Linked DNA regions of Alligator mississippiensis. The protein of the gene in region 2 purifies or fractionates together with the protein of the main gene of each other region. This does not show direct contact. Links are inferred from orthologs where the notes say so. Each region holds a gene or a part of one and is shown on either strand. Other genes may lie near its edges. The genes, in order: SLC12A4 and RAB6B.

The links.
Region 1: the proteins of RAB6B (region 2) and SLC12A4 purify together in Homo sapiens (co-immunoprecipitation; 3 studies listed by BioGRID and IntAct, with this or other methods). This does not show direct contact. The link is inferred for Alligator mississippiensis from reciprocal best matches to the Homo sapiens genes RAB6B and SLC12A4.

The regions. Positions count from the first base shown.
Region 1 is NC_081833.1:45,498,769-45,514,755, reverse strand, and holds the start of SLC12A4 (solute carrier family 12 member 4), read right to left. Parts: upstream 7,591-15,987; 5' UTR 7,516-7,590; coding exon 7,383-7,515; intron 1-7,382. UniProt on the Homo sapiens protein: Mediates electroneutral potassium-chloride cotransport when activated by cell swelling. May contribute to cell volume homeostasis in single cells. May be involved in the regulation of basolateral Cl(-) exit in NaCl absorbing epithelia.
Region 2 is NC_081830.1:30,387,181-30,403,569, reverse strand, and holds the start of RAB6B (ras-related protein Rab-6B), read left to right. Parts: upstream 1-7,765; 5' UTR 7,766-7,851; coding exon 7,852-7,921; intron 7,922-16,389. UniProt on the Homo sapiens protein: The small GTPases Rab are key regulators of intracellular membrane trafficking, from the formation of transport vesicles to their fusion with membranes. Rabs cycle between active GTP-bound and inactive GDP-bound states.

The DNA.
Region 1 (15,987 bases), on a different chromosome or scaffold from region 2:
TACAATAGGAAAACTGAAGTAGTGGATTAAAGTGACATTGACACAGCTAAGACTTTATTTTTGAAACACTAGATAAATTGGGCAAGGTGCAAACCCCAAATCATTTATCACATAACAATAGTAAAAAAAAATAAAAAATCACAGATTGTTGGTTATTTCCAATAACAAAGAAGGAAATTTAGGAAAACTATTGTACTTCTCATTCTAAAATTACTTTTCTCTGTGTTTTATTGTATAGCTGCTGCGTACAGTCATTTGCAACTTCATGTTGTCTGGTTTAAGTCTATATTTTTAAAGCAATACAAAGAATTCTGAGGATAACTGTGCTGATAGAAGTTTATCTGTCTCTGCTCTGAAGGTAAACTGCTTCCAGCATCCAAACTAGCTCATGCAGAGCTGGCTCAGTTATCGCTATACAGAACTATTGTGCTGTATAGACATACCTCAGATGACATTACAGATAAGCAGTTTGTCATGGTCCAAATTAATTATTTATTAAATGTTATTAATAACTCTAATAACTTATTAGGCAATTAAAAGCAAGTATTTCTCATCAGTGATTCAGTCTTTTCCCCCAAGGTAGTAGATTAAGTAAAAATGCCTTTAGATCAGCATTTGTGCAAAAGCCCACATGGACAAATACAGTTTGTAAGCATGCTTGCCAGCCTGTCCTCTCTGGAGGCACAGATTCATAACGGGTTGGAACCCCATTCAAGCAAGTTTCACAAATGCAATGAAAGCTATTATAGAACTAGCTTGTAAGCATAAACAAGGACTGGTAAAACCAAGGGTAGCAGCTGCCCAAACTAGGTCAGTGATACCAGGCTTATTAGTGTTTCAATTTCACAAAAAATGTCACTGGGTGATAAATAGCTTCGCACAGGACACATGGGTTGTAGGGGTGCACTGATAAAAGATTTTTTGGGGTAGATACCAATGGCTGATTATTGACCAGCAATATTGGCCAATACTGATCTGATTGCTAATATACAGCCCAGCAGCTTGGAGAGCAGGTTCCAGCTGATAAGCCTGTTGGGCAGAAGAGGCATGGGGGGGTGGGGCAAATTGCGGCTCCCCTAATGAAGGAAGAAGTGGGGCTAAGACAGGGACTGCACAACTGGCGCAGGGTACAGGGCAGAGCTGTGGGTGACTCGTCCAGTGGGGGGGGGGGGAGCAGCTTCCTGCACTGCACGCCCCCCATGGGAGGTATGGGGGGCACATGCCCTCTTGTGCGTGGGGCAAGTCAGGCTGCTGCTGCAGGCTCAGGGCCTGGGGCTGCGCCAGCCTCTTCCTGGCAGGGGGGCTGGGCTGGGGCTGCACTCAGGGCAGGTGGGGGCAGCGCAGGTAGCAGCGGTGGCACTGAGAGGTGGGGCTATGTGGGAGGCCACCCCAAAATTCACCGTAGCACCCCTCCCAGCACTGCCACCACCCACCATGAGTATATTTCTCGCCCAACCCCCTCCTGGGAAGAGGCCAGCACAGCCCCAGCCCTGAGCCTGCATCAGGTAGCCCGCCTGCACCCCATGCACAGATCCAGGGGGGCACATGTCCCCTATGCCTTGCCCTGGGGTGCACGCAGTGGCTGCATGCATGCTTATTGCATTTATCACAATATTATTGGCCACATCAGCCAAAAAAAGGTGACTGCTGATAATGTCTATTTTCCTTTTATCACTGCCAATACAATATGGACCAATGTATCAGTGCACCTTTAATAGATTGTCACACTTGAGTTGGCAGAGACCAAACACATGAGTGAAGTAAACAACCCAGTCTTCTAAAAATGAATAAAAATAATAATTCTGAAGACTGAAACTTAGGAAATCAATAATTTTTTGATCAGGCAGGCCACTCTCTTTAATTTAAATCAGGGCTGTCCAACTGATGTCCCACAGGCTGCATGAGACCAACAGGAGGTTAAATTGCAGCCCCTGGACTCCCACCTGGCCACCCTTCCTCCCCCCACCCCCTCCAAAGTTCCTGCAGCAAAACAGCTGGGGCTCTGGGCTCTCCCTCCCCCCACCTGGCTTCACTGACTGTCTGTGGCCAAGGGGCAGGGTGGAGCAACATATGGCATGGGTGAGCTGCCAGCTGAGGAGCTAAAGTGGGAGCCACAAGTGCACACAGTACATGGGGGGTGCTGTTCAGGCATGTACTGCGGTGGCAGGGATGGCAACCAGGTGTAGCAGGTGGGGGGGGGGAAGAGTTACAAATTTTATTTCAAGAATGAATAGGAAATGCACATATGGCATCTTCTGCTGACCCACAACTAGAACTTGCATCTTGATATCACTTTTTCCAAATAGAAAGTTTCATAATTAGTCATAAACTGTGACAATAAATAGTGTCTGCTCAACAAGCAGGGGTTTGTTTCATTTACATGTAAGCATTTATGCCAATTGTGAGGTTAAAAATATTAAATATGCAATTATTTAAATGTGCTACTTAAGTTGTGCTTTTATACAAGGTGGTAGTGTTGGAGTGATGTTATAGTCAGGGGATATGCAACAGAGGAAAGGACTTTTGTGGATATCTTTTTATACAGTTTTTATACAAAGTATTGTCAAGAAATACTAATGCTGAAGTTCTATGCCAGTCTAGTTTCTGTAATACTTTGGATGATAGTATATCATTTGAGATCGAGTATGAAACAAAATAAAAATATTCAAGAACAAAAACTCCCATGAAACAAAAAAACCCAGAAAGGTGTGGGGAGGGGGTGGATGTACAGAAATTAGGTTCCTCTGGAAACGGAAGGAAGTTGTCTTACCGCACAAGAAATAAATAAGTGTACTGGGGATAGTCTTAACTTGGAAGCTAGTATCTTCCTGATCATCATTCTAGTGGGCCCATCTGAGTTAGTACTGCTATGATAAACCTTATATTTGAGGAATCATACCATAACTCAGTTATTTCAAAGCCCTTAAATATGGCTTCCACTAGTAAGCTACAAAAATAACACGCTCAGTGAGATTCACAACAATAACTGCATCCAGTTTCACCACAGTAGCAATGGCAGTAGCATCAGTGGACCACATGGAGCAACCTGATACAGTGCCAGATCATTTGTCAGGCAACCCTTGCATATATTCACAAGTTGGCCATATAACACAGGGGGGGTTGGTTAGAATCACAAGCTAAAACTGCATATTTTGAATATGAAACTTCACAAAAGTTTACCTTATCTGGTGTCGAGTATCCCACCAACTGCCAGGCTCTTGCACACACACAATCATCAACTGCCATGGAACCCCCTGGAGCGTCGCCCGCGCGCCCTCTGCCTGCGCCGCGGTCCACGCAGGGCTGCCAACTCTCTCTGAATCTCTGCCGGGAGGTTTCATCACATTATATAAGGACCTTAATGCCTTTAGATCAGGAAGGCAAATGCACATTACTATTATATTTTAAAAACCTGCTGGACTACTATATAAATCAGATTCAACTTTAATATTTATTTTAATGAATGCCCTATCAGTTATTTCCCGGGTGACTCTCAGCAGTCTCCTGGAGATTTATATCCAATTCCTGGAGGGCTGGCAACCCTAGTTCCAAGCCTGCAGAACCACAGGTTTCTAGCTGGCACCACAGACCCATGTGGCACTGCCTGCCTTTAATAGGAGCTTCCCACTCTTTTCTGAATTCCCCCAAACTCGAGGTTTCCTCAATACTGGGGATTTCTTCTGGCCCCCTGCAGTAACAGAGGCATCAGGAACCAGAAATGAGACGAGAGGACTTGAGGGTCCTCCATGCCAGTGGTTGCGGGCCATGTTAGTGACACAGGGACCAGTCCCATGTGCCAGGATTGGGCCCTGCACCTCTTCCCTCATCCCCACTCTGCCAGCTAGATTGGAGCCCCAAGTCCTCAGCCCCACACTGCCAGATCAGGCCCACACTGCCTCCTTCAGTCCTAGTCGGGCCCCTTGCTGCCTCTCTCATCCTGGCTCCACCAGATCAGGGCCCAGGTCAGCATCTCCCTGGGGCCCATACTGCCTCCAGCCAGCCCCTGTGTGACCAGATCAGGTTTGGGCCACCCCTGCTTGCCAATCTAGCAATCTGTTATCTGGCCTGCAGGTCTCCCCAGACATCCAGAAATTTGGCAGCAAGGGAGCAGCAATTGCTGCCACTGCTCTCCTGCTGCCAAGTTTTCAGACCTGTGGGGGCCCCTGTATGCTGGATGACATGGCTCGGCAAACTCACCTGGCCCACAGGCCAGGGGTTGAGCACTCTGCTCTCAGCAATCAGGAAGTCATGAAACTTATCAGGAGACCAGTGAGAAAAGTGGATCTTTACTTCCCAGACCTTAATTGCCAGGGTGGAAAAGAAAAGCCTGCCTTTCTTGAAGCCTTCTGCCTGCTGTGGGTGCACAGGAAAGGAGTTTATGGGTCATCAGGAGTAGCAAAGCCATACATCTTTATGCGCCTGTGAACCAACCTGCATAATTAGTGTAAAGAAAGGTACAGCTCAACCAAAAAAACACAACTCAGTTACCAGAGTTGTGTCAGCCTCAAAGTAAAGCAATACAGTTGGCTACAAAATTCTGTGCTACAGTCTGAAAGGTAGCAAAAACAAACAAGGCCAGCTCACATCAGCTATATGATATCATGGAAGAGAGAGAGTTGGTTATTTTAAAAGCAATGTTGCTTTCACCGCTACTTTGAAAGTCACGTGCTCCTTCTATCTGTGGTATAAACCCATTCATTGACTTCAGTGGTAGTTTAATAGGACAAAAACTAGGCCACATGCACTCCTACCCAGGATGGTCAAATTACAGTAATTTATAGCAGTACCAGTGATCTTTCCTAATCCCTGCACAAAAGGGATCAGAAACTGATGGGTTGGTCCATCATGGGAAGAAGTTAGGACCTGAACTTTCCTACAATTTTTACTTCAACCTCCTAAATCAGATTAAAACAAAAGATCTATTTTCTACATTTTATATACTAGCCACCATACACCGGCTCATATTAGAGCACGCCTCTTCAACCTCGAATCCTAAAGTGCTAACAGCCATTAGGGGCCAGTTACTTAAGCTTGTGGTATGCGGAAGGATAAGCTTTAAACAGCACTTACCCTTTCTTCAATCCAAAAGACCTTTTCAGGACTGCAATAATTTATCAACTAGATGCTGCCCCACACTGAGCCAGCCACTGAGCAAGAGAAACTAAAAATTAAAATCCAGTAGAGAACTGGATGAAGGACTGAAGGAAGAGAAGAAGTTTTGCAAATGAGATACTGAGGTATAGAGTAATTCAGCCATGATTAAACAGGAAGCCTCTAGCTGAACCCAGTATTGAACCCAGATTTTGCAAATTACGCTTCCATCCCAACTACTATATTATGCTTTCCCCCTTACAGTGAGGGTCAAGGACCGAGAATGGTTGCAATGGCCTTTCAAGAGGGCAGCGTTCCTATTTAGAAGCCACCCCTCGAAGGCCTCGTGGTGAGATATGTCCAGTTCTTAAAAGCTTAATCCTGTGGGCAAGAATGGCTCATTAACATTGTCTTATAAAGCCTAAAATTATGTAAATTCTTCTTGTATCATGAAAAGTTTTTGAAAGAAGATACCCCTACTATGCTTGTGAAAAGATTTTTCTCCTGAGGGCTGAACTGACACAATAAACGAGTTGTTTAGAAGCAAAACTTGACCAGCACAGCTGTAGCAGGGAAAGAAAATACAACACTTACAGCTACAACTATTTCAGAATAATCCTGGAATGCCGACTTTATTCCTGAACTACTCTTCTTCATGAATCTCTGGCATTGATCACTTGAAATGCTACTTTTTAATTAAAATTCACAGTAGAACACCCGGAGGCTGAGCACTGACACGTGTCACCAGCTGAACAGTCGTCTCCATTAAAAAAGTTTTTCTCCCCACATGATCCTTTTACATTAAATACGTTAAAACCTACCAAGAAGCAGATATTCATAAAAGAAATGTAAAAACAACTCATGTACAATGCTAAAATGATTTAGTAAAGTATTGGCTAAATTGTTTAAGCACAGATTTTATATAAAACATAGCTGTCAGGACTGCAGACCAAAAGCATAAGAACTCAGTGAGGAAAAAAAAAAAAAATCAAACAGCAACCTATGATTATATTGCTTAGTGTTGTTTCACTATCATGAGTTTATTTAATTAAGAGAGCACTTCAAATATTTGCACAAACCTCTTATCAGTTGTCACATTTTTAAAAACAGCTTGCGTTCACAAATCACAACATCCTGCCACATCCAGGAACAACCAATACATGCCACTTCACTGTGTTTTGAAGCCTAACTCAAACTATCAACAAGTGATTCAGATATTAGACATTGTCTAGGTTTCTCTTTGGTTTTGTTTCAGCTGTAGGGCCATCAGAAGAACTGTTACTAAAATGACTTTTTTCTCAATTAAAAAGTGCGACTCAGATCAGCCAAGACAAATGTGTTGTCAAAGTGAGTGAGCATGAAGAACTTAGACATCACATCTGCCTTGTGTCTGCAAACAGACACAGAACAAAGAAAAACCACTATGACCAGAAATGCATGTGTCATCTGTCTTGATCTCTCATCATACCACTCCTTTAAAGACTAGGACTAAGAACAACAGCCCTTAGGCAAGATTTTTTCAAAGCACCAACCTCCCAGTAGCAGGCATTTTGCAGGCCTCAAGCTTGCCAACAGCAGAAAGGAGCATTTCAAAACTCAGGGATAAAGGTTGTAAGCTGCGTTGGTCTAAGTATACAAGCAGCCGGTGTGCTAGCTAGAGGCAATATCTTTTATTTATTAGGCCAACTAGAGAGTTGCAAACAGCATTTTTTTTCTTTGCAAGCTTTCGGGCACATTCACCCTTTCGCAGGCATTGGAGCATACAAAGATTGTAAACTTTCTCCCAGGTAGAAACTTATGAACACGAATTTTCTACTTGGGAGAAAGTTTACAATCTTTGCATTATCCGATGCCTGCGGCGGAAAGCTTGCACAGAGATTTTTTTTTTTCAACTCTCTAGCTGGTCTAATAAAAGCTGTCGCCTGGAGCCCGCCGGCTGCCTTCCAAAACTCGGAGGATTCAGCTTCGCTCGGCTCGGCTCGGCTCGGCTCGGCAGGACACGGGCAGGAGCCGAGTGAACTGCCCAGTCCCGGCGCGCCTCCGCCGCTCGGGCTCCTCTCGGCTCGCCGCAGCGCCCAGCCGTGCCGGGGCCGCCTCAGCCCGGCTCGCAGCCCGCGCCCGCCCGGCACGAGCGCAGGGGCAGGGGCAGGGTGCCCGCTCCACGCGGTGCCGCCGCGCTCGGTCGGGAAGCCGAGAGCCGCTTTCCCCAGGGGCGACACAAAGGGCGGTCGCGGGTCCCGGGATGCCTGGGCGGGCGCGGAGGGAGGGGAGCGGGACGGCACTGGACTCACCGTCCGAGCTGGCCGTGTCATAGGGGTCGGCAGCGCCCGGCGGGTCCCGGTAGTCCACCCAGCTCAGCCCCTCCAGGCTCGCATAGTCCACGCGGCGCTTGTCGTCCACCGGCACCACGGTGAAGTGCGGCATCGCGGCTCCCCCCGCGCCGTCTGCAGCCGCCCGGCCCGGCCCGGCCCCGCATTCCAGCCCCGTGCGCTCACTTCCTCCGGGAAACCCGGCCGCGGGCTCCACCTCCCGCCGGGGCGGCCCCCAGGCTGGGCACGGGGCTGCCAGGAGGGGGCTCGGCCCCGGGACAGCGCCTGGGCTGATAGGAGGATGGCGCTTCGCCCTCGGGCGGACACACAGCAGGTGGCAGAGCCCGCGGCAGAGCGGCGGGGCCTCTGACCTCCCCCTGGCCCAGGCGGCGGCTCTGCCACCGCCTCTGCCTGGGGCGGGGAGCTGCGCCCCTCCCTGAGCCCGACAGTCCAGGAGCGCGCATAACCCCCGCTGCTAGATCCAGGCCTTGGAGCGGCACCTCTCAGCGCAGCCCTCCAGAGACTCAAGCCTCCTTAGAAGATGCCAGCTCTTAGCTTCCCCCCCACCCCGCGTTTGGTGACATACACCCGGTCCATCCTTCTGGCAAAGAGCTCAGAAAGCCCACAGCAGGGCAGCTGGTCTTTGAGGCTGTGTGCGGATTCCTAGCTGAGCTCTCTGAGTTTATCCTACTCGCACCCTTAATGGGCCTAACATTGCATGGCACCCCACAGCACACTGGAGAAGATTGCAAAGTCCCCCTGGGTTCTGCAATACTCCAGTTGGAAATCACTGCTCCAGTGGCTCCATGTTAGGGTGGCCACCATAGAGGACATTCCGGTTTTCTGTTACTTTTTCATAGATTCATAGATGTTAGGGCTGGAAGAGACCTCAATAGATCATCGAGTCCAACCCCCTGCATAGGCAGGAAAGTGTGTTGGGTTCAAATGACCCCAGCCAGATGCCTATCTAACCTCCTCTTGAAGACCCCCAGGGTAGGGGAGAGCACCACCTCCCTTGGGAGCCCATTCCAGATTTTGGCCACTCTTAACTGTGAAGAAGTTCCTCCTAATGTCCAGTCTAAATCTGCTCTCTGCTAGCTTGTGGCCATTATTTCTTGTAACCCCCAGGGGCATCTTGGTGAGTAGAGCCTCATCAATTCCCTTCTGCGCCCACATGATGAACTTACAGGCAGCCACAAGGTCACCTCTCAACCTTCTCTTGTGGAGGCTGAAGAGGTCCAGGTGCCCCAGTCTCTCCTCGTAGGGCTTGGCCTGCAAGCCCTTAACCATATGAGTGGCCCATCTCTGGACTCTCTCCAGGTTATCCACATCCCTCTTGAAGTGTGCACCCAAAACTGGATGCAATATTCCAACTGCGGTTTGACCAGCGCCCAATAGAAAGGAAGTATCACCTCCTTGGTTCTGTTCATCATGCATCTGCTGATGCATGATAAAGTGCAGTTAGCTTTGCTGATGCCTTGGTCACACTGATGACTCGTGTTCATCTTGTCGTCCACCAGCAAGATGCCTTTTCGCTTCTGTGCTGCCAAGCAGGTAATTTCCTAGGCAGTAAGTGTGCTGGACATTTTTCCTCCCTAGGTGCAGCACTTTGCATTTCTCCTTGTTAAATTGCATTCTATTGTTTTCTGCCCATTTGTCCAACCTGTCCAGGTCTGCCTGTAGTTGTTCCCTGCCCTCCGGTGTGTCTACTTCTTCCCACAGTTTTGTATCATCCACAAACTTGGACAGAGTACACTTCACTCCCTCATCCAAGTCGCTGATGAAGACATTGAAGAGTATCAGTCCAAAGAACAAGCCCTGCAGGACCCCACTGCCCACGTCCTTCCAGGTCGATACTGCCCCGTCCACCACCACTCTCTGGGTACGACCCTCTAACCAATTTGCCACCCACCGGACTGTGTAATCATCCAAGCCACAGCCTCTTAATTTGCTCACCAGTATGGGGTGGGGTACCATATTGAAGACCTTCCTGAAGTCTAAGTAAATAATATCTACCCCACTCCTGCGTCCAGGTGTTTTGTAACCTGGTCATAAAAAGAGAGTGTGGGCGGATTGGGATAGGGCAGGGAGTCGGGATGGGCAGTATGGGGAAGTGGCTGTGGGAGTGGATTAAAGACGAGGGGCTCCAGGACATTTGGGAAGGGTCAGGGGTGTTTACTAGAGTGGATCCGGGAGGACGAGGTCAATCGAGGATCGATTTTGTGCTGGTGTCAGAGGGGTTGGAGATCCGCAGGAAACGACTGATTGACGTGAGTTTCTCAGATCATCGTGTGCTGTGGGTAGAGGTGGGCATCGGGCAGGGGCTCAAGCAGGGGAAAGGAGTCTAGAAACTAAATGCCTCTTTATTGGATGATCCCCAGGAATGCACTGCCTTCGAAAGTGCGTATCGCCAGTGGCAAACCTTGCAACCCTTTTTCCCAACCTGGTGGGACTGGTGGATTGAAATTAAGGGGTGCGTGCGAGAGTAGTTCGATGACGTGGGGAGGAGAAAGGCACAACGGAAAAAGAAGGAGCTGGTACGCTTGCAAGGAGAAGTTCAGAGATTGTGGGAACAGTTGAAGAAGGGGGAAGCAGTGAAGAGAGAATGGGAAAGGGCAAGAGAGGGGGTGAAAAAGTGGTTCCGCACCAGGATGAAAGAACGGATGCTCCTGGCCAAGGCGCAGTGGGTGGACGAGGGGGAGGAATGGGGAAGGTTTTTCACTTTACGAGTGAAAAGCAAAAAGCGGGTGATGGAGGTGGTTCGCATGGCCGATGGAGGAAGGGTGGAGGATGTAGAAGGGGTCTTGCGGGAGGTGACTAGATATTACAAGGACTTGTTTCATAGGAAAGCGGTGAGGCAGGAACAAGTGGAGGGACTGGTGCGGAGTTTGGAAAGAAAGGTGGGGGAGGAAGGGAGGGAGAGTCTGAGAAAGGAATTGACGGAAAGCGAAATACTGGGCGTCCTGAGATCGATGCCACTAAAGAAGACACTGGGAGGAGACGGGATCCCGGTGGAGTTCTACGGGAAGTTTTGGGACTTAGTGAAGGGGGATCTCTTGGCCCTTTCTAAGGAATTCATGGTGCGGGGTCAGGTAGGAGAGGGCTTTGACCAGGGTGTCGTGGTCCTGATTTACAAGAAAGGGGAACGGGAGCACATTAAGAACTGGAGGCCAATCACCTTGTTGAATGCCGATTATAAATTATTCACCAAGATCCTAGCAGCGAGGTTGGGGGCGGTGTTACCGCAGCTGCTGGGTGAGGAACAGATGTGCGCAGTGGGGGGGCAGCGAACGACACAAGCACTCTGGGTGCTTCGGGACATGCTGTCGTATGTCACAGAACGAAACTGGAACACGCTAGTGGTGAGTCTGGACCTGCAAAAGGCGTACGACAGCATTGGGCACAAGTTTCTGTTTCGGGTCCTGGAAGGGATGGGGATGCTGGGAGAATTTGTGGGGTGGGTGCGGGCACTTTATGGAAAGGCTACGAGCAGGGTGCTGGCGAGGGGTTTCCTGGGGGAAGCCTTTGCTGTGGACTCGGGGGTGAGACAGGGATACCCGCTATCGCCGGGGCTCTTTGTCTGCGCCATCGAGCCTCTGGCACAACGGATCAGGGGGGATAGGGTGATTAGCGGGGTGAGTGCCAAAGGGAGGGGAATTGAAAATCCTCCTATACATGGATGATGCGACGTGTGTAGTGAGGGACAAGGTGTCTCTGGGAAGAGCCTTGAAGCACGTAGACGAGTTTGGGGAGGCATCCGGAGCAAGACTGAACGTAGACAAGAGCGTAGTGCTTGCGGTAGGGAATTGGGGGGACTTGAGAAACCTTGGGCTACAGGTGGAAAGGGAGGAACTGAAGGTGCTTGGCGTCTGGATGGATATCCAGGGGAAAGGGAAACAGGCGTGGGAAGTGTTGGAGGGGAGAGTGAAGCAGATGGTGGGGTTGTGGAGCACACGGGGGTTATCGTTGAGGGGGAAAGTGCAAGCGATCAAACAGTGCTTGCTGCCACTAATCCTGTACACGGCGATGGTGTACCCCCCGTCCTGGCTACAGGCCCGGCAGGTCCAGCGGGCCTTGTGCCTTTTCTTTTGGGTGGGGAAGACCGAAAAAGTGGCTAGGACAGAGATATATAAGGATGAGGGATTGGGGGGATGGGGCTTTCCCAACATAGAGACCTTTGTTTACGTGCACTTTTTGAAGATGGTGGTGAGGGAAGCGAGGGGAGCAACGGGCACCGTGACCAATTTCTGCAGGTTCTGGGGGGGAAGGCTCCTGAGAAGGCTGGGCCTGTTTGGGAGTGTGTGGCAGGGAGCATGGGCTTGGCAGATGTCGCTGCCCTATGCCCGACTTGGAGCCTTTGTTGCGAAAGAAGGATTGGAGGGGTTAGGGATCGAGGGGCTGGGAGATGCCAAAAAGGTCTTCAATTTCCTGAGAGGGAAGCAGAGGATGTCGGATGTTGGGGATTTGAGACCGGAGCAAGTCAGCAGGGTGTGGAAAGGACTGGTGGGGAAGGAATGGAAAGGGGAGCATGAGGAGCTGGCGTGGAGGGCGGTGCGAAAAGCTCTGCCAGTGCGACAGGTGCTCTATCACTGGGGACTCTCTCGGTCCCCCAAGTGCCCAAGGGAGCTCTGCGATGAGCCCGGGACGGTGACACATGTACTGTGGGACTGTTCTTATGCACAACGGGTGTGGGGGAAGGTGACTACCTATTTGAAGGATACGGGAAAGGGAACGGGGGGTCACTTCCAGAAATGTTCTCTATGGTTTATCAGAGGGGACGGATGGGACGTGGGGGGTGCGGGTCTTAATCACCTGCACCAAAGTAGCACTATGGAAAGTACGCTCCTTGTTGGCTCTAAAGGGGTTGAGCTTTTCCACAACAGAGTGTCTGCAGTTAGCAATGCACGAGCTGCACTTCTATAGAGCTAGAGAAGGAAATACAAAAGAAGGAGGGGAGGAAAAATTCTGGCAAGAGCTGGACTTCAGGGGGTTGTTTCAGCCCCACACAGGTATAGGCTAAACTAAGAGTCAGCATTGTGAGTACAAAAGGCTGGCTAGGGTTGCACATGGGATAGGGACAACAAGAGACCTGTATTGCACACAATGTTCTTGCTTTCCTTTTTTTTTTTTTTTTTTTGGGGGGGGGGGGGGAGGACGTACAGGATGTCTAATACGACATGTGTAATATGTGTTAGATAGCCAATACTCAGGGATGTTGTATATACTGTGTACAAATGAGACGACGTGCAATATGATATCAATCCCAATGTTTTGTATTATGTTATTTGAAATGTTGTATTAGCCATTGTGAGGCCTCTGTCTGGGGTCGTTTTGAGTCTTTTGTTATAGTCTGGTTTTTCTAATAAAATGTTTACTAAAGGAAAAAAAAAAGTCATAAAAAGAGACTAGATTAGCCAGGCATGATCTACCTACTATGAATCCATGCTGGTTTCCCCTCAGCATAATTTTTCCTGCTTGGCTCTCACATAAAACTGCAGTAGTTTGCAAGATTATGTTTGTGTTTGAAAAGAAAATAAGAATAATCTCTATTTAAATTAAAATCCCAGAATAGCTAACTGACTACATATTCCAAAGATCTGCTGTTAAGGGACACTGTCATCTTAAAATTTGATGCATCTTTAAAAGGAATTTTAAAAAAGTTTCAAGTAGTATACCTCTTCCCATATTCTTCTCTTTATTTCTGTACTTCTGCAGTCATTTCTCAACATTATTCTGGTTTCATGTTGCACAAATGGCAAATTAAGTGAACCCAACTATATTCTAGAACAGAGCTGGAAGGGACCTCAGGAGATCATCTAGTCCAACTCCCTGCTCAAGGCAGGATTGCCCATGACTAGATCAACCCAGTTAAGTGCCTGTTTATCTTGTGCTTAAAAACGTCCAAGCATTCCACAACCTCTCTGGGTAGCCTCCAATGCTTAACCAGCCATAGAGAGACAGAGTTCTTCCTAATGTCCGGCCTCAGCTGCAGCAGCCCCATGGCATGACCCTGGTGACCTGTTTCCCCCTGACCCCCCAAAAATGCGACTGGGTGAGGAGCTATGCTTCTTGTGGCAAAAGTCCAGAGGGGGGGTGCCATTCTGCTTGACCCCCCACCCCCCAATGCACTATTAGGTATTGGTCTGTCTGGTTTCTATGGCTGGGCATCATGGGGCTGTGCCTGCTGTAGCAAAGACTCAGGGGAGGGCATTCTGGCATCCCCTCTAAGTTGGCATGGGGCTCAGTGCCTTGCTTATACCACCTAGTTACACTTCTGCATATACATAAAATGTTGCCAGATATACAAAACAGAGAAAACAAATTATTTTCTGTATCTTACGCTTTGATATTAGAACTATAAGAAGTTTTATTTTTGAAATTCTGTTCCTAAAATAGGGTCTGCATTTAAAATGCTATAATTAAACTTCAGAGTCAACACACTGGACATTCATATTTCTCTTGGCAAGTTATCTTTGAGCTTAAAAAGGCCGGATGCCTTTTTGGTTAAATTAATGCTTCCAGTTCTGCAAAACTCATGAGGTCAGCAAAAAAGAACAAGAGAAGCAGCTGTGAGGTTTACTATTCAGTGCTGGCTTGATCCAACCTGATTTTAGAGATTTATAACTAAAAAGACTTCCTAAGCAGGAAATTTGCCTGTGTATGTAAAGTAGCACGTAAATTCATGAGCCATGTAAATGGGTTTTTTTTATATTTCCTGCCAGCAGACAAAGAAAAAGTGCTTGGGCTCTACATAAGCCCATTGGTGAAAATAAACCTTCTGGCCGGAAGAGAGGGAGAAGGCCTATTTTAGGCATTTCCTGATCTTACAGGAATAAGTCATAGATTTTTTTAACTTGCCCTGCTTTCTGGAACAGAGTTTGCCATTAATAATAGAGTAATGTGTAGCTTCTCAAAAAAAGCAGAAATGGGAGACAGACATGAGGGAGAACTCTTTGTTCACAAGAGCTGAATAATAATTCCACTTTTAATTAGTTGGGATCTGAAATAAACAAGGAGGATACATGCTGCGGAGTGATTGTTGTCAGAAGGAATGCAGGCCTCTCAGTTCACTTAACACAAATTCACTGATGGACCACCTCTAGAGAAAGCCAGAACAATTACACCCCCCAGCTGAGATCAGACAGGTAGAAAGGCTTCTAAGACTTCAAAGTTTTATATAACCTAAAATGTATTTACATCTTTTCTTTTTGTTAATACATGACAGACTTATGTCTGCATTTGGGTTTGGGTGTTTTATTTGTTTAGCTGAGAAGTGTCCCCTGACATCCCCATTTGTGAGTTTATGAGTACAGTTTTGTTCTCTCATTTTAGAAGTAGTTACCTGCTGTATGTTGTCTACTCCCACTGAAGGCAGTAGGAGTTTTACCATCAGCTTGAATCAAAGTAGAGTTAGACCAAGAGTGAAAACTTTGAAAATCCATCCTTTCTTTAGTTTTAGAAAGACAGGTACTACAGTATCAAATTAGTACTCCATTTAGTTCCATAATCCATCTCTGCTACACCAGTTGCTCCAGGGGAAAACGGTCAAGAACCTAAAATGAAATGTGTCCAAAAAAGTCATATTAACCTTCTGAGATTAAATTATGTCTCTCATATCATACCTAAATACCAAATTTAGACAGTTATTTAACTATAATAATTTTCATTGAAAACTGGATAATCCCAAGAAAATGGATAGGATGATAACGGGATGTGGGGATTACTAAGAAACAAAAGCAGAATTTTATGGGGCAATGATTCCCAATGACTATCCTGTGCAGGTTCATGTTACTCTTCATGAAGGGTAGTTTGGCTTCCATTTAATATCATTAAGCTTGAAGTGGTCAGTCTAATTATTCTGTCCTAGAACAAGAAAAAGGAACTTCAGTAAGTGAGCTTCAAGCTTAATTGCAGCATGCTGTGTGTTCAGAAGGAGAAATCAAGAATAGGAGTTCCCTTCTCTTCCTCCAATTGTTTTGCTTCTGGAATTGAATTTGCAGGGAGCTGCCTTTCTTCAAATACCAAGCAGAAGATCTGGGCTACTGTTAGTTGCAGAACTTTGCAGAACCACACTTTATTTTTAGGAGTCATTAAGTACCTGGACTGAAATTCCTCCAGCTAAGAAAAGTTCTCCTCTCAGGCATATGCCAGCAAGTCCCACCCTCTTGAAAGGGAATTGCACCCACATATCTTAAGGGAATTTGGCCCTAGGAAACTATGCATGTTTATGGTGGCAAAGCTATTCTTTTTTTCTAAAGACAATGGCTATGTTTACTGTTTTGGGGCTGGTCAATAAGTAAAGATAAGAGCTTATTTGCCCAAAGCACCTTTATTGCATCATATTTAGATTGCAGGAGAAGAGCAATTTCAACCTACTTTTTCTCTTGGTTGTAAATACTAATTACTACTTACGGATTTTGTAAGTGGCTGTTACCTCTGGTGGTGGTAGTAATCATAAATGGTACACTTGTTCAACTGGTCTATAGTGGCAGTCTTCCATTTGCCACAGTCTAGGTTCCTTAATATTTCACAACATACCAAAAAGGTGCATGGGTTACCTGTCTGCTTGTATTAAGACATACTAGAG
Region 2 (16,389 bases):
GATCTAGATCCCTTGCTTCATGCCTTCCCATCTGACAGTGGCATGCTGTTTTGTGGTACAACCACAAAGGAGTCACAGCGCCTGTTTTTCTTGTGGCACTGTGACTCCTTTGTGGTTGTAGCCCTAGTGTGGTTAGCAAGGGGCTTTCTGGCATAAGCATTAGCTGTCAGCTTCAAAAGCAAGCAAATGGAAGCCCTCCTGGCACTTGGATCTGGAGCACTGCTCAGAGGAGGAACAATCCTGGTGCCAGTGTCATTTTGATTGTTTTTGAGACTAACAGTAGCAACGGAAGGTGCTCTGTGTGTATCGTGGGACTGAGAGACCCAGGTTCAATTCCAGGTTCAGCTCTGCCTCCTGTGATGCAGTTAGGCTGTGTATTTGAAGATCAGAGCTGTAGTGCTCCATCTCTCCTCTATAAAACAGCTGTTATGGTGTCCTACTTGCCAGGCTGCTGCGAGGCTACCAATGTGCTCAAGATGGCTTAGGTTGGTTGATGAAAGGGGGAGCTGATAAGGACTGAATAAAGTAAAGAAAAACAAACTAGTATTGGCAGTTAGTAAAGTTTGAAAAACACTGATCTAAAGCTTGAAAGACAGTAAGAAGGGATGCAGCTTCACTAGTAAAATAACTAGCAGTCTCTGAATGCAAGAACCCAACAGGAAAACTCTTTGGAGAGCATGAATGCAAGTCAGCCAAGACTGTGACTTCTGTGGTAGACAAAGGTTTCCTCAGGAAGTCTTCTCTCACATGCAGATTATAGTCTGTGTCATGGCCTTGGCTGAGATGGTGACTCTATTCCAAAAAGAATTGTTTTAAGATATGGATGCATCTGAAGGAATTAAACTTCTATGGTCTCCAACCATGAGAACCTATTTCAATTCCTGAATTCTCCAACATGGAGACTGGTGTGTTCATTGTCATGAGCCTTTCCAGGTCTGGGTGAACTGGAAATGCAACAGATGGAGTCTGTTTACCTTGTGATGTGTTTTGGATAGTTGGTGCCGTGTCTTTGCACATAGATACGGAGATCATAAGCTGTGAAGATCTCTTGAAATGGGTAACTTCTATGACACAACAAAAATAATGACTGGGGAAGCCAATACCATCCAACCATTGGAGTGTATTGAATGATTCCCTCCTGATTGCATGGTTACAGAATTAGTCTTTATTCTAGTTTGGCAAATTGCATCCACAAAAGGGCCTGGGAGTGACTAGTTTGGGACTAGTGTGTGAGAGATGCAAAATGCAACTTTCAATGATGGGATTTGTTGCTCTGAATAATCAAGGTACATTATTCCTTTTGAGGCAAAAAACTTAGTGACAAGGCACTTCACGCTTCGTGAGGGGTTCATGTACAGGGTTAGGTGGGGGGCAGGGGATAGTGCTGACACTGGCAAGTTTGCCTCAGAGAAGCTGATAAGTACCTTTGACTTTTTTGGGTTTCCTTTTATATAATAAAAGGAAATTTTATTGCATTATTTTATTGAATAAAATGCATTTTATATGGGCATTGGTTACCATAGGGTGTGAAAGAACAAGCAGGTGGGCTTAAATAAGGCTCTGCTCTCTCTCTGTCTCTTTTAGCCAGTTTGCTAATTCCTGCACATGACCCACCTGACACATCCCAGTTGGTTTATCAGACTGGGTGGTGCTGGCTGCTACAGTGCCAGACACTGGCAGATGCTGCATCATGGGCAAGACTTCATGTCTTATGGTCATTAAGGGCCACAGTTCTAACACCACAGACATAATGTCACATGGCCACTTGGACAAATGTGCAGAAGTGCTTGGATGCACTCGCCCATATGGCACACACAGAGGTGATTACATGTGAAATGGAGGTGCATGGCTCCTTTAGCACATGGACACAAGGTGTCTTCTCTTCCAAAGGTGGCTCTAAAAAGCTCTGTGAACTTTCTTCAAGAGCAGGAGTCAGAAGAGGAGAGCCCCAGTCCAATTTCTACTCAAGGAATTGTGTTTGACTGCCCATGGTTCTCTCTGCAATTCCTATGTCATGTGGTAGACTGGTCCCCTTGCTGGCCAGTGACCTAGTGGTAAAGCACAGAAGTGGGGGTCAAAAGGCCTTGTTGGAATTCTGGATTTGTCACCGATTTAGGGGCTTCACACTAGACCCCTCACCGTGCTTCACAGTTTCCCACCCGTACAATGGGTATAATGAGGTTGTTTGGTATTTGAGGAAACCGTGATCTAAAAACAGCAGCCAGCGCTTGCCAGATGTGTGGAGTCCTGTAACATAGCTACATCATATCAGGCATTCTTAACTGAAACCTTCTTTTTTCACTAGTAAGAGAAAGCTCCTCTCTGGCCCCACTTGTAGGCCAAAACCTAGGCCCAGTTTTACAAAGGTACTCAGGTGCCAAACTGACCTCTGATTGTATTTATTTCTGTTTTTAAGACAAGGTGTGTGTCTACATATTAGTTCCGCATCTACATACCTTTGTGAATCAAGCTCCTAGACTCTAGTGGGAAACCTGGTGCTGTAGAACTAACCTTGGTAACAACACTGAACCCAGTACCATGCTTGGGGCAAGTAAGTCTTATGGGTGCCATGGTGGCAAAGGCTTAACTGTCCAGGACTGTGCATGAAGCAGTCTTCCCTTCTCCTTTTCCTTTCCCCCTGCTCCCTGGTACCTTCTGCCTCTAGAAGCTCTGGCCATGGGCAGTGCATGGGAGCTGCAGCTGAAGTTTGCTGCAGCAGATGCCCATGTTGAGTAGGCAAAAAAACCTTCCTTGTTTTGGTGGCAAAAAAAGGGTGACATTACCCCCACCCTTAGAGTGGTAATGGAGTTCGCTGCTCCACAACTTCACTTCGCAGAATGAGACATGCTCATTAAGACACACTTCTGCACTGATGCCGAAACATTTTGGGCTAGATTTGGAAAGTGCAGGTGGAGCAGGGGGCAGGACCTCCTCCCCCTGTACATTCTGGCATGTTTTTCCCTTTTAGGCAGGGACTTGTGCCCCACTCTCACACCTGCATTTATGCTACTACACTAGAGCCTGTCTGGTCCCAAGAGGAGCTGCTTAAATACCATGAAGGAGTGGTTTCCAGACACCTGTGTTCCTTCCTTGCCTCTTGGCAGAGAAAGCCTGGAGATGAAGGAAAAGGGATTAAAACCCATTAAGCACATATTAAATATATAAGACAGACCCTGGTAGATATTTGCATAGCAAGCTTGGGGATTTCACTACCCAGCTGTCATAACTGTGGTTTCTGCTTATTTTAAAACTCCCCAGAGCTGGCTTTCATTCTGAAGGCTAGGATTTTCAAAGTCCTGTGATACCCCGTTCTTCATGATTCCTACAGTTATGAAGGTTAGCAGCCACTTCATGCTCTGTTCACTATCCTGACCTTACCTGGGGATTTATTGCTATTTATGTTAATAACTAGAGCCTTTAGGTGTCTCAAGATTGGGACTGTGTTGTGCCAGGTGCTGTATATGTACATTTTAAACTCTCTGGAGGGAAGAGTTTTTGCCCATCTTTCCTAACTAGACCAAAAGTGGAAGGAGAAATGGCACAGGCCTGGAGAATATGCTTCCTTGACAGAGCACAGTGGCAGAGCTAGGAATAATGCTCAAGTATCCTGAGTCCCAAGCTAGTGTGTGTCATCTTTATTAAACCTTGCTGCATATCCTCATACACTAATACTTGCTTATAGCTGTTGTGGTGCATGATGAGCAAGTTCACGGATCAGTAACCCATGAACTCAGCCCAAGCTCAAGAAGTCTAAGAGCAAAGGACTATGGAGAAGCATGTCCTGTGCCTCACCCACCTTTATCCCCAGTGAAGGGATGGTCCTGTTGGCCTTAAGGGGAAGTCTTTCCAGTAGTACTTGATCCAAAAAGAACTGTGGGGGGGGTGGTGCTTGGATGAACATTCCTTGAAGTGTGGGAGAAAGAAGTGAAGGACTTTCTCGGGCAGAGAGGGAAAAAAACTGAAGATGCCCTTTTCCAGCTGGTGCTGTTTGTGCTTTGCCTTCATTTGTATGTGAGATGATAGTTGCCATCTTGCCCAGCATACTAGGGACCTTCAGAGGTAAAGCATGAGCTATTATAGCTTGAACTAAAGAGCCAAGCCCCTCTACCTGCAGAGTCTCTGTAGATTAAGCACAAAGAGCCATTACTTACCAGTGGGTTACGCTTGCATCCAGAAATCAGTCCATTAAAAGTATATACAATGCAGTCACTCTGTTCATTCAGAGACCCCGCAACAAGGAAAATGGTGGTATGGCTTTACTGGAGCAATGTAGTCTTTAATTTTTACTCCCTTAAAAATGTTTCTTATTTAGTGTGTGTGGCTTTTATTACTTTTTTTTTTTTTTTAACCAGTTGGTCCATAGATCTTGTTAGTCACTGAATGGATTGCTGTTGTATTATTTTGACGGTCTCCAGCTGCTGTTTCTTTAACGATCTCTTATTGACAAGTTTTACTGTTTCTGGTAATGTTGCCTTTTTGGTCTTGCATCCAGCTGTGTCAACAGCAAAGGACCTTAGAGGGTGATGGCTTTTGGCATGCAAATAAGGTGCATGCCTTTTTAACGAGTGCTTTCAACAATGTTTTCAGCCTCCATGCAACATTGGTCTTGACGTGAACATGGAGATGCAAATGTGATTCCTCTCTGGAGCCAGCATGGAGCATTTGGACTGAAGTTGTGTGTCTTAAGAACACCTTGTTGCATCCATTGCATCACGTAGGCTGGATGCAGCAAAACCAGCCTGTGGGTTAAAAGAGCACAGTAGACAAGTGGAGTTTCACAATCAGCCACATAGACATCTTTTGATGGATAAAAATGGTCTGGCTTTCTTTCCCAGCAGAGTTATGCTCATATCCCCTGAGGGCACTAAACAGGCCCCCGTGCTATAGTTTTCAGAGATCTTTGATATTCTTGTTTCCTCACAGGGCACATACAACCTCAGGACTTAATGTGTTGGCTTAAGCAGTCGGTTCCAGGAAGTGCCCTTGCAGTGTGCTGAAGGTAAAGATTTGCACCTTAGAGACTAACTAGAACAGATGCACACATAAATAGCATAAGCTTTTGTGAGGCCAAACTCGCTTCATCAGATGCTGTGAAAGGACAGGCACAGAAAATTTGCAGTATGTTGTCCTGTGCTCCCAAACTCCAGTGGGCCTGGTGCACAATTTGGAGCCCTTGCCCTACTGGTATGGCAGTGAGCATGTGCCCCAACCAAAATCAAGACCATATTGTTGTGTTCCATGCATATGCCCAGCTGAGATGGTCCTTATGCTGAAGAGATAAAAAATATAAGTGGGAAGGACTGAGTTGCATCTTAGATGAGAGAGTCCAAGGTCACGTCAACCCTGACCTTGGACCAGTGCTCTAGAGACCTGGCTTCTGTACCTATCCTTTCTCCTTGGTAGACAGGGTGAACAAAGAGGCACAGCAAAATCAAGCCAACTGTAGTGAGAATTGGGTGGAATAAGCACAGGCATACAGTGAAGGAGAAGAACTAAACCATACACTTGAATTGTGGAGCAGTAGGCAACCTCTGGCTTTGTCTCTTTCGAACTAACTGCTAGCTGCTCCCTCACTGAGGGACCATTTCCCAATCCCTAACTACCTCAGCCTCCTTTTAAGAAGCATCTCTAAACTATGACTTCTCTTACTACACCAATGAGCCTGGCCTTGGTTTAACTAGTCTGAAAATAAAGCCTTGTTCCACTGATAAAGGCACTTGGTGAAGAGAGATATAGGGCAGCTGTCACCCCTGTCTGCTGATATCACACCAGTAGGTAGCCCTTCCTTCTGACCACCACACTGCTCTTGCTTTGCTAGGTGGCACTGGGGTGTCCTGCCCTAATACGACCACGTGTCATGGTGGGAAAGAAGGGCTACTTTGAGCAGCAGTCACTGGTGGAGTCCCAACCCATGCCAGTTTTTCCCCTTCTAAATCAACTTAATGTCATCCCACCCCTGATAAGTAAGGGAAGCAATACTGAAGTAAGGAAAACTGTAAGTGCATCCATGGTGAATAAACAAGATGGTTGAAATTAATCTGTGATCTAGCAGCATTGATCTCTGGAGATTTATATATTGGCTCGTCCTGTTTGCTTTTGATTTCATTTAACCTATAACATCTTTAAAAAAAACCCAAAAAGCATGTCCATTTCAAGAACATTGTTAGTCTGTGGTTCCCTATAACTAACACTGTGCTTGGGAATGAATTTGGCACTTGAATGAAAAATCAGGCTGAAGAAATGTAGGTGCAGGATAACAATAAGCAGAAATACGTCTGGGTGGGAAGAAGTATACAGGAATAGTTTCCACTTCAGTTGGGATATTTGTAATGTTCTTTCATTAGGAGCAAAACCGGGCAAAAGGAGGACAAGGGAGGAACAGAAAGGAGCCTACAGAATTTGAAATAAAGTATAGAAATGAAAGGAAAGAAAAGATTTGACTTCAGAAGAGTGGGGAGAATAATCCCAAATCTTAATATTCCATTGGAGGAATCCAGCTAGCAAGTAGAACTGGTTAAAGGATCTCACTGTGAGAGAGGGCAGAAAATTCAATATGAACAATAGCATGATGATAGAGGCAGGGCACATTTGTCCTGTAAACCCGAGGTGCCATATCATGGAAAAAAGGAGATTGGCCTTCTGAGACCAGGACTGGGATTCTGGGGCTGTGGCAGCCAATTTGTGAGGAAAGATTAATGCATTAAATAAAAGGGCCTATTTAAATGATGACTGAGGGAGCTTTGATAGATGTCTGCAAGTACTTGAGAGGTGTAAGCAGTAAGGTACTGGAGAAACTTCAATGCTCCTACCAGATTTAATTAAGAATAATAGCATGAAGCTGAACAAAAGGAAATATAGTCTGAATATCAAGAGAAAAATTCCTAACTGAGAGGTCTATTAAACTGTGTTAGAGCTTCCCAGGGGATATGGTGGAAGTCTCGTTGCTGGAGTCATTTGAGATTACACTGAACAAAGCACTTGACAATACTCTGTTGGAGAGAATCCTATGGCTTCTGGGAAAGAGCTGAGGTGGGGAGATAGACTATTTTCTTTCTCCTTTCTTGCAGTCACTCATTATAGGCATGAAGTGGGAACAGAAGATGAAGCTAGGAATGAACCATCTTTGCTTGTGCTCTTCCATGTCCGTCTCATCGCAGCTTGCGGGTCTGGCAGGCAGGCGTGGGTCTTGACAAGAGCAACGCCATTTTTTTTTTTTTTTTTAATCCCACTCTGAATCCATCTTGGTCCCATGTCCTTGTGCAAGGACATCAAGAGGAATGGGGCAAACTCCAGCTGAAACATCTATCCATCTTGGTCCCAGGTCTTTGTTCGAGGCCATCAAGTGTAGTGGGCCAACCTCCAGCGGGAACATCTGTCCTTCTTGGTCTGAGGCCATCAAGAGAAGTGAGCCAACCTCCAGCAGGAATTTCTGTCCATCTTTATCCTAGGTCTTTGTCTGAGGCCGTCAAAAGGAGCGGGCCAACCTCCAGCAGGAACGTCCGTCCATCTTTGTCCGAAGCGGTCAAAAGGAGCAGGCCAAACTGGAGCGGGAAGGTCTGTCCATCGTGGCCCCAGGACTTCGGCCCATTGCTCTTGGCGGCCCGGCCCTCGGGCAGCCCCGGCGGGAAGGCGCGTCCCTCTGGGTGGCGAACCGCGTGGCAGGCGGCTGGTCCCGGGGGGGGCGGAGCGGAGCGGAGCCGGGGGGCGCTGGGCAGGTCCCGTTCCCCCCCCGAGGGCGGTGCACGGCGCAGGCGCGGGTGCGGGCGGAGCCGCCGCATCCCCGCCCGGGACGGCCCCGGCCGAGCCGCAGCCGCTGCTGCATCCCGTCCCCGTTCCCGCCCCGGCTGCACCATGTCTGCGGGCGGCGACTTCGGCAACCCGCTGCGGAAATTCAAGCTGGTGTTTCTGGGCGAGCAGAGCGGTGAGTGCTGCGGCGGGGCGGGGGCTGCGGCACCCCGGGGAGCCGGGAGCACCCCGCGGGATGCGGACCCGGCGCGACACGAGCCGCGCCAGCCTCGCTGCTGGGGCCGCCCGAGCACCCCGTGGGTGTCCCGAGGGGGCCGGCCGCGCAGATGCGCCCCGCCGCCTGCCCCCCGAGCCGGAGCCGGAGCCGGAGCCGCACGCGATGCAGTGTCCCGCGCAGCCCGCCCGGGACCCCCAGGACCGAGCCGCGCCTGCTTGCCTCCCCGCCGCGGGCGGCTCCCCGAAAGGCGCCTGGTTGCAGACTATAAGGGGCGACAACACGGAAAGTCGCGGGGCTCAGTGATTATTTTATAAGGTCCCGGGTGGCCCGGCGTACAGCCGCCCGGAGCGGGGAGCTGCTGGCGGCCGAGAGCCCGGTCGGTCGCAAGCCTGCAGCTCTCTGTTGCGGGTTGCTGGGGCTTTCAAAGCAAAGCGGTGCTGCGCCTGTCTCGCAGCCTCTCTGACCAGGGAGGGAAGGCGGGCGGCACGGAGGTCCCCCCTGGCATCTGCTGCAAGGTGCTCTTTGGTCCAGATCTGGCAGCTGGCACCATCTCCATTTGCCTTCTCTTCAAGGCAGGGCTTGGCTTTTCCAGGCGTGGGTGCTGGAACAAAAGATCGCTGGACCGTCCACCCTGCCCGTTCTGCAGTGCCCTCCTCTCTTCCCTGCTTTGCTGCTTTTTTTTGTGTCAGCTCTTCCTTACCAAGGGCAGCCTCGTGCAGAGGATGCCCTTTCTTCAGCTTCAGCTACCTTCTTTAATGGAAGCTGCATACAGGATTCCCAGGTAGACAGGCGTTCATGGGAAGGACATACAGAAATACCCACAGGAGAATCCACCCATTAGCTTTCTGGTTGTGGTAAAGGCAAGGGCAGGGAAGCAGACCAACTTCTCAGCAGCTGCGTATCATGCACTTCTCCATAGAAGACGAGATACAGCCCCGTAGCTTTGCAGGCAAATTCCCCAGCCTGCCATAGCTAGGAGTGCTGTGACAGGCTACACAGAGCTAAGCAGTTTTAATTATTTTTGGAGGTGCTGGATGAATATGCTGTCACATAGAGCAGGGACCAAATGATCTTGGCTCCACATGCACAGACACAGAGCTGCATTTTAAAACCACTGTCAAATCTCTTATTTGCCTTTATCAAAACAAGAACCCCCCAGCTGCTGGTCAGTGCTCACAACCTTTGATTATTCTCTCCTCCCTGCCCTGGGCTTCCATGTTTTGCTTGCCCAATAGTGGCTGGCCGGATAATTGAGAAGAAAAGACAGCTTGACACTTCTGCTGTTTTCCTGACAACTTTTATGCTGCTGTTAAAATGGTCCTTCCCTGGCTTGCTCCAACTCAGTTGCCTTGCTCAGGGGCATGTTCCCAGCCTAGGGGCAGGGGCCGGGGCCGGGCAATTGAGATTGACGTGTTGTCTGAGCTCTCTAGCTCTGAAAACCCAGAGGGCAGGATTTTTCCAAATGCTCAGCACTGGTTTAATTCTGCTCTTATTGAAGCCACTGGTCATTTATTCATTGACTTGACTGGGTGCCGAGTTATGTCGATGCTGTGGACGGTCAAAAATTCCACTGTAGTCTCTGAAATTGTAGGTTTTTCCACTAATCAATCCATGGTGCTGACAATACAGCCTGTCTCCTCTAATTAGCAACGCTGTTCTGAGTGGGCTAGCCCTTGGCCACTGAGTAGAGAAAGTAGCCAGCCACATATTCTTCCCCAAGAGAAAGCCTTGTCTAGACCTCCTTGCTCATTCTCCCCCTTCCATGTGAAATAACTCCCCTCAGTATGTAGGCTCCAGTATTTCTCCCTCTGATGGCAGATACCACATCCTAAACTAGCCAATTTGGCTGCTTTCTGGCTAGCAAATAACCCTCTGATAACCCACAGTTGGTTGCTGTCAAAAGCCCAGCAATAATTGAAACCGGACCACTTTTCAATAACGTTTCCCACCCTCCATGTCCCCAGAGTGGAATTTCCAAGAAACGGGGTGGGGGGCAAGCTCATTAAGCTGCGTTCAGTCAGTGCGGAGCCATTTCCAGACAAAGGCAGCCTGTGATCAGAAGCTGAAGAACGTTACCTTGAAAGGTGTTGCTTGTCTGTAAGAGGGGGAAAAGGTTCACTGAAGAAACCTTCACAGCTGGTATGTTGAGGCTGATAATCTGCATATCACAACGGTCCTTTTTATACTGCTAGCATTTTGTCTGTCTGGTTGCCATCACCATGGTATCTGATCACCTTGCCTTTCACCTCCCCAGCATTATTGATTTCCCCAGCTTTACATCATTAGAGGGGGGGAAAAAGTCGTGGGAGTGCTCTTACCATATATTGATTTACAACTGGTAATATTAACCAGCTTGAAACAAAATACCGATGTGCAGAGAAGCACATGATTATCTTCTTCAATACAGTGTTTGTTTTCTTTTATAGAAAAGATGAATACAAGTGAGGAGGGCGGAGGCTGCTTGGTAAATTAACGTTTGCAAACTTCACTTTGATTCCATAATTGCCTTTTTTTCTTAAGAGGTTCCTCAAAATCATGGCAGTGTTTCTGCTGTTCAGATCTGCAGATTTCCTAACTGTAAGAGTTTATTAGAGGAACCTAACAATTTGCATTATTTGGCCTACTCTTTTATTCAGAGTTTAGGCTACTCATTGTCTCTCCCAGGCATCCTTTTATCAAGAGCGTGTTCAGCAGAAAGGTTCCTGAAGAGAAAGGATACGTTCTGTTGCTGCAGGCACTTCCCCGAGATGCGTGTGCACACCTTTGTGTACAGATCACTATTATTTTTCTCTCAAGATAAATCCCCTCTCTGCAAATAAACCAGCTCACTTGGATGTGAGACAGAGAAAGCCTTGAGAATCTGAAGCAGTTGCATCAGCTTCTCCTCATTTTATGCTAGTTCCTTGTCATTCACCTTTCCACTGTATAGGAGCTGCTTGATGAGGATGATTGTAGATCTCTTAGCTGCTTTCTCAGCATACCTGACAGAGGCAGGAAGGGTTAAAAATCTCCCTGTCAGTTCTTGCATAAAACTGAATCCGGCACATCCCACCAGAGCCAGAATGGGGAGATTTCCCCCCCAGGCAGTGAAGACAGTCTGATTGAAGTGGTATCGATTGGCGGCTGTGGAGCTGTGTGAACTCAATTTTACCAGGACATGCAGCTGATACCAGAGGTGGCTCTCCGATGCACTTGAAATACACAGCCACATGGGGTAGGAGCCAGAAGGGACAATGGCTATTTGCAAGGGGCTTCATTTTTTCTCCTGCAAAAGAAGTCACTGCTCCTCTTCTCCCTAATGTAGCATCCTGCCTGCATCCTTGCCCTGCTGAAGTGTCCTGGGTTCTTAATGACAAAGGACAGAGCTCTGGTTCTTCAACTAGTGATAACCCTTCTGCCCACTGTCACCCAGACGAGTGGTGCTATGGGCATCTTAGCACTGAAGTGAAAACCTGAAATGTGTCTTCTGTTAGTGAAAAAGCCCAATATAGGACTTATGGTCACTTCAGAAGACCTAAGTCTGGCTCTGGTTTGGGCATCCTACCAGCCCACTGTTTCCTATGATCTGATGTTATTGCATGTACGAGCACCCATAGGCAGAGAATGAAAGTGGTTTATCCAACAACAAGGCTAACTTGTTTTCCTCCCACTGGATTTTTATTTATAGTAATGTTCCCATCCAGTTTTTCAGGTCAGCTGGATCCATGCTGCTGTCAGTCATGAGAAGCTAGGTGAGCTGAGCTGGATTCTGAGTTCTTTTACATGGCTGCATGTCAGGAGGAGCCCCACTGGTGTCAATGATGTTATACTGGTGAAACTGAGCTGGATATCATGTGTGCATAGTACTGGAAGACTTTTCTGAGTTACTAGATTGTCTTAGTTATAGTGCTTGGGGGAATAGCCAGGCCAGATTTTTAAGCCAGAAATCTATTTAACTGAAAATCTGGGTTTTGATTAGCTCATACATTTTGTGAGTTTGTGATCTTTTCACCAAATTGTTTCTGCTCACAAAAAGGCTTAAACAAATCTCCAGCCTCTGGGGGAAAAAAGCTGAAACCACTTTCAGTTTTTTGATTAGGAATATCTTGTTTTGAAATGTATTTCAGTGTTACAAACCAGAATGTTTTAAAATGTTTCCAGGACCTTGAGATAGAAAGTGTGTGCATGTCTTTGGGTTGAACAGAAATGCAAAACTCTAAAACTCTTGATTCAGAGATGATACCTTTTATTAGACCAACTAAGAAATTGCATTAAAATTAGGTTGAACAGAACATTTTCATGCCAGGAGTTTTAAAAAAAAAGAAAAAGAAATTATCTTTTCTGATATTTCAGAGCTGCTGCTGAACTGAAATTTCAGTTATTTCTTCAATTCTCCCTGTGACATATCAGGAGCAGGTCTGGTCCTTAAGAAAAAAAATAAAATTAAAATTGTGATGACTTTTGTCACACCCACTCATCTGCTCTGCCATGAGAGTGCTGGAGGGCCTTTCTTGACATGCTGGTGGGACAAGGGAAATTTCAGTCAGTCTAATACAGTAGGTTTTATTCTTCTTTCACGCTAGTTTCATGCCATTCTGACTTTGGTGACTAATTTGCACTCATCTAAAAGGAGAATCAAACCTAAAACATATAGACACCTGGTTGGTCTTCCAATGCCTACAAAAAAACAGCTTGGCTGCCAATGGGCTGTGGTGACCAGTATTGTCCCATTGCTTTAGTTATGCTTCCCTGTTTGTCGGTATTTATTGCTTGTTTCTTGTTTTTATGCTTGGATTGTAAGACCTTTGGAGCAGAGACTTTGTTCGGTATTTGTACAGCACCTTGCACAATGGAATCCTGCTCCATGACTGGGGATTCTGGGGGCTATTGCAATTTAAACAATAAATAATAAAATCAGTAATTCCTGCATCTTGAAAATCCAGGCTTACTGGATGCATTGTTTTGTCTAGGCTTGTGTGTTGGTTCCAATGGGAGAATACCCCCTTCCGACCTATTGCCTTGAGACCAGTGTGTGCACCTGTTGTGTACCAGTTTGAGTGTGAGAATTGCTTGAATTAGCTCTGAGGACAGTCTTAGTTCAACTAACCTTGCTTTGTGAGTTCAGCATAAGGACGATTGTCTCTAACTTCATGAATTAGTTTCAGTGAAGACCATGCAAATCAACATAAGATGGATTGAAGAATGAAGTTGGCTATGGGGGAAGCAAGCATAAGGCTTGGGAAAGGGTCAGTTGGTTGATACCAAGCTTGCATGTCCCTCCAAGTTCAACATTTCCCTTAGACAAGGTCCTGTAAATTAATTTTTGTTCATTCGGTTGTATAGATGACAAATAAACCATTCGCCTTTCCAAAGACACTTAGTGCAATATATCTCCAGAGAAGTTTCATGGTAATTTAACATCTAAGTGTTGAATTTTCCAGATAATGGGCAATTCCTGCAATGGGTTATAGATCCGCTTTTTTGTAAATAGCCAAACAGTGAATTCATATAATTTTTCACAGCAGATCTATTGATGCAAGAATATGTGGTGTCTATGACCAGGTTGGCTAGTTACAGGTCAAAAAGCACCACTTTCTGTAGCTGGGGGGTGGGTGGTTATTAGTAGCAGTGGGATTAGGGGTTGGGAGGGTGATTTTTTTTTTTTTTTTTAATTTTTTACATTGTGCATGTTGTATTGTAACTCTGAGAACAGAGCAGGGCGATACATCTCTCCAGAGAGGGTATTACAATACTTATGCACCACTCCTGCAGCACTGCTAACTGAAGGAGTATCTCTCAGAATACTAGTATGGCCTGAAACATGCTGATTGTTTGGTGCCATGATTTGTTTCTGAGCAGGATTTATAAGACTAGAGACACCGTGCAAAGTACTATTTGCTGTTCCCATGCCTCACTGGTTGTTTTGAAGGTACCTATGAAGAAAAACAGTGTAGTAGGCACTTCTACAGTGATGTATTGGTAACCACTTGGTACTCTGTATCCCAAGGGGTTCATTTTGATTCAGCGTAAGCAAAGCACTTGTGGGGCATAAAACATAAGAAGTCCTTGGGGGGCGGGGGTTGAAGTGACTGACAGCAGCTGTTCCTCCTCATTCACACTTGGCCAGTATAAACAGACTGATGAATAATATTTATGCCACCATTATTTTGGACCTGCTCCATTACATATTTCTGCATGTGGCACTTAGGTACAACGCCTTGTCCTTACAAAAAGCACACAGACACAAGTTCTTCCTACTGTAGTCTGTCTCTGCTCCCACTGTCTTGGCTCTCCCAATCTACCCATCAGCTTTCTTTTTTCACCCCAAACCACATACCTCCAATTTATCAGGAAGCTTGGAAATCAACCCTCCCTACTTCTCATAGCCCTTGCATGCTTTCTTAAATGACCCTAGATCCCCTTATAGGCATTACCAATGGATTGTGAATGTACCGGCGCATACTTGGTCCCATGGGCTACCTCATACGTTTAGTGCCAGACAAGCGCTATAGTAAAGTTTCCATGAGCATTCAGTGGCATTTTGAAGGCATTCCCTTTGGTTTTATTTGCACCATTTGCTCCTAACTTTTATGGCTTCCCACATAAGTTCTACTGAACATAGATGATCCTGGGAAGTGGATTTCAAAATGGTCTGTCTGAGAATAAATGGGAAATGAAGGTTTCAGATGACATATGTGACATCTATTCATATATTCATATCAGAAGTGCTTGTGCACTCAGTTGATTGGAAAAAAAGAAACAGAAGTGTGTGGATGAGGCATGCAGGCAAAATAGATGCTGGTAAAGTGGCAGGCAACTTATCTATGTCCATCCAACTTGCAAACACAGACTTGGGTGGAGTGATCTAGTAAACATTTTTGGTGCTGTTCTGAGCACTGGTATGGGTTGTCCATCTGAAATACTAAGAGAGAAGTTCTCCCATAACCTGTGGGGCATATAACCCTAAAAACTGCAGAACTGACTAAAAAATGATGCAGAGGCTGTGGTTGCTTCTGTGAGCAAACCTGCTCATTAATAATCTTCCTCTCTTGGACAAGGAACACAGCTGCTCAGGGCCAAAAACCAGCAGGTAGAAATGCCTCAGAAAGGAGCTGGAGAATAAGAGTAGAGGTTCTCCCAAAATTGCTCCAGTACGTAGGCACCCAGGGATGCAAAGCTTCTTCACTGAGGGCAGTTACAGGATGGTAGATGGCCTCTTGTGTTGCTTGTTGTCTGATAAAATGCAGTACAGGAGAACCTGGGTGATTTGTGTCTAGGTGGTTTACTACCCACTTAATTTGCAGAGGATTGCTGAAGTAAGAACAAGCTGCTCAGCTGTCTGCTGCTGCTCCTTCACTCACTGGGAGTTCATCAGCGTTCCTGTGCAGCAGATTGGAGAAGCAGCTCCCTTGGAAATAAAAGTGCCAGCAAACAGCTGGAGCACCTCTGCAGTCCTGCACAGCTCTTTGCTGTAGCACTGTGCATCCCCCCCCCTCCCCCCCCCGGATACTTTGCCAACTGTCTTCTTCACAGGGGAGTTAGGAACTTAATCCTGCAAAGTATCTGGGCTGTCCTGTATTTTAGTCTTTTCTGGGTTGTAGGGACAAGCAAACAAGATGGGACATTTAGCTAAACATCTAGATTTTGTCAGTCTCCTGACCAAGGGACTAGTTGAGGGAGAATCTGTAGCAGATGTCTCAGCTCCAATACAGAGGCCTCCAACAGACATACTGTCAGCTTACTTTCATCTGTCAGGCTTCCAGCATCCTTTTTCGTCTCCTCTCTGTGCTATCCACTGTCTCCCAACGCCCCGCAGCACCTTCCATCCAACTGACTCTGCCGTTTCATCCTCCTCCTCACCTCTCTGACACCACCAGGCTATGTGCCTGTGTCTTCTTCATTCCCTTAAAGTCTGTTTTCACAGTGACCTCCACACCACAGTCCTTATTCTCATCCTCTACCCTACTGAGAAGGAAGCTTTTATACTCTGTATAGCCCCAGTGTATTCTGCCAATGCCCTCCATGCAAGCATGACCAAAGGCCTGGGGGCAGAGTAAGTAAAACTTGTAAAAGCAGGTGGGAGAGCACTGGAAGCTGGTGTATGTTGTCAGAACATGCTGGCTCACTGGAAGCTCTGATATTTTTTCCTAGTAATCAGCCCCATCCTCTGCTGAATAGACAGAGTTCCCTAACACCCAGCTGTTCAGACTTTTGTGTTCTGGTTCATAAAATGTAGCCTTCTCCATGGTCTCTGAATACCTTCCAAAGTCAACATGGTGACCAACATCAGCTGTTCCTAACGTGGAGAAAAAGATCACGTTTTTAATGTGGTTCTTTTGTATTTTTCTTCTTTAAAAAAATGAAGATAATGAGTTTTTTGGAGATGAAAAGTGCAGGGGGGAAGTGTTGCATTTGGACTGGACTGCAAAGTTTCTCGTTATGCTGGG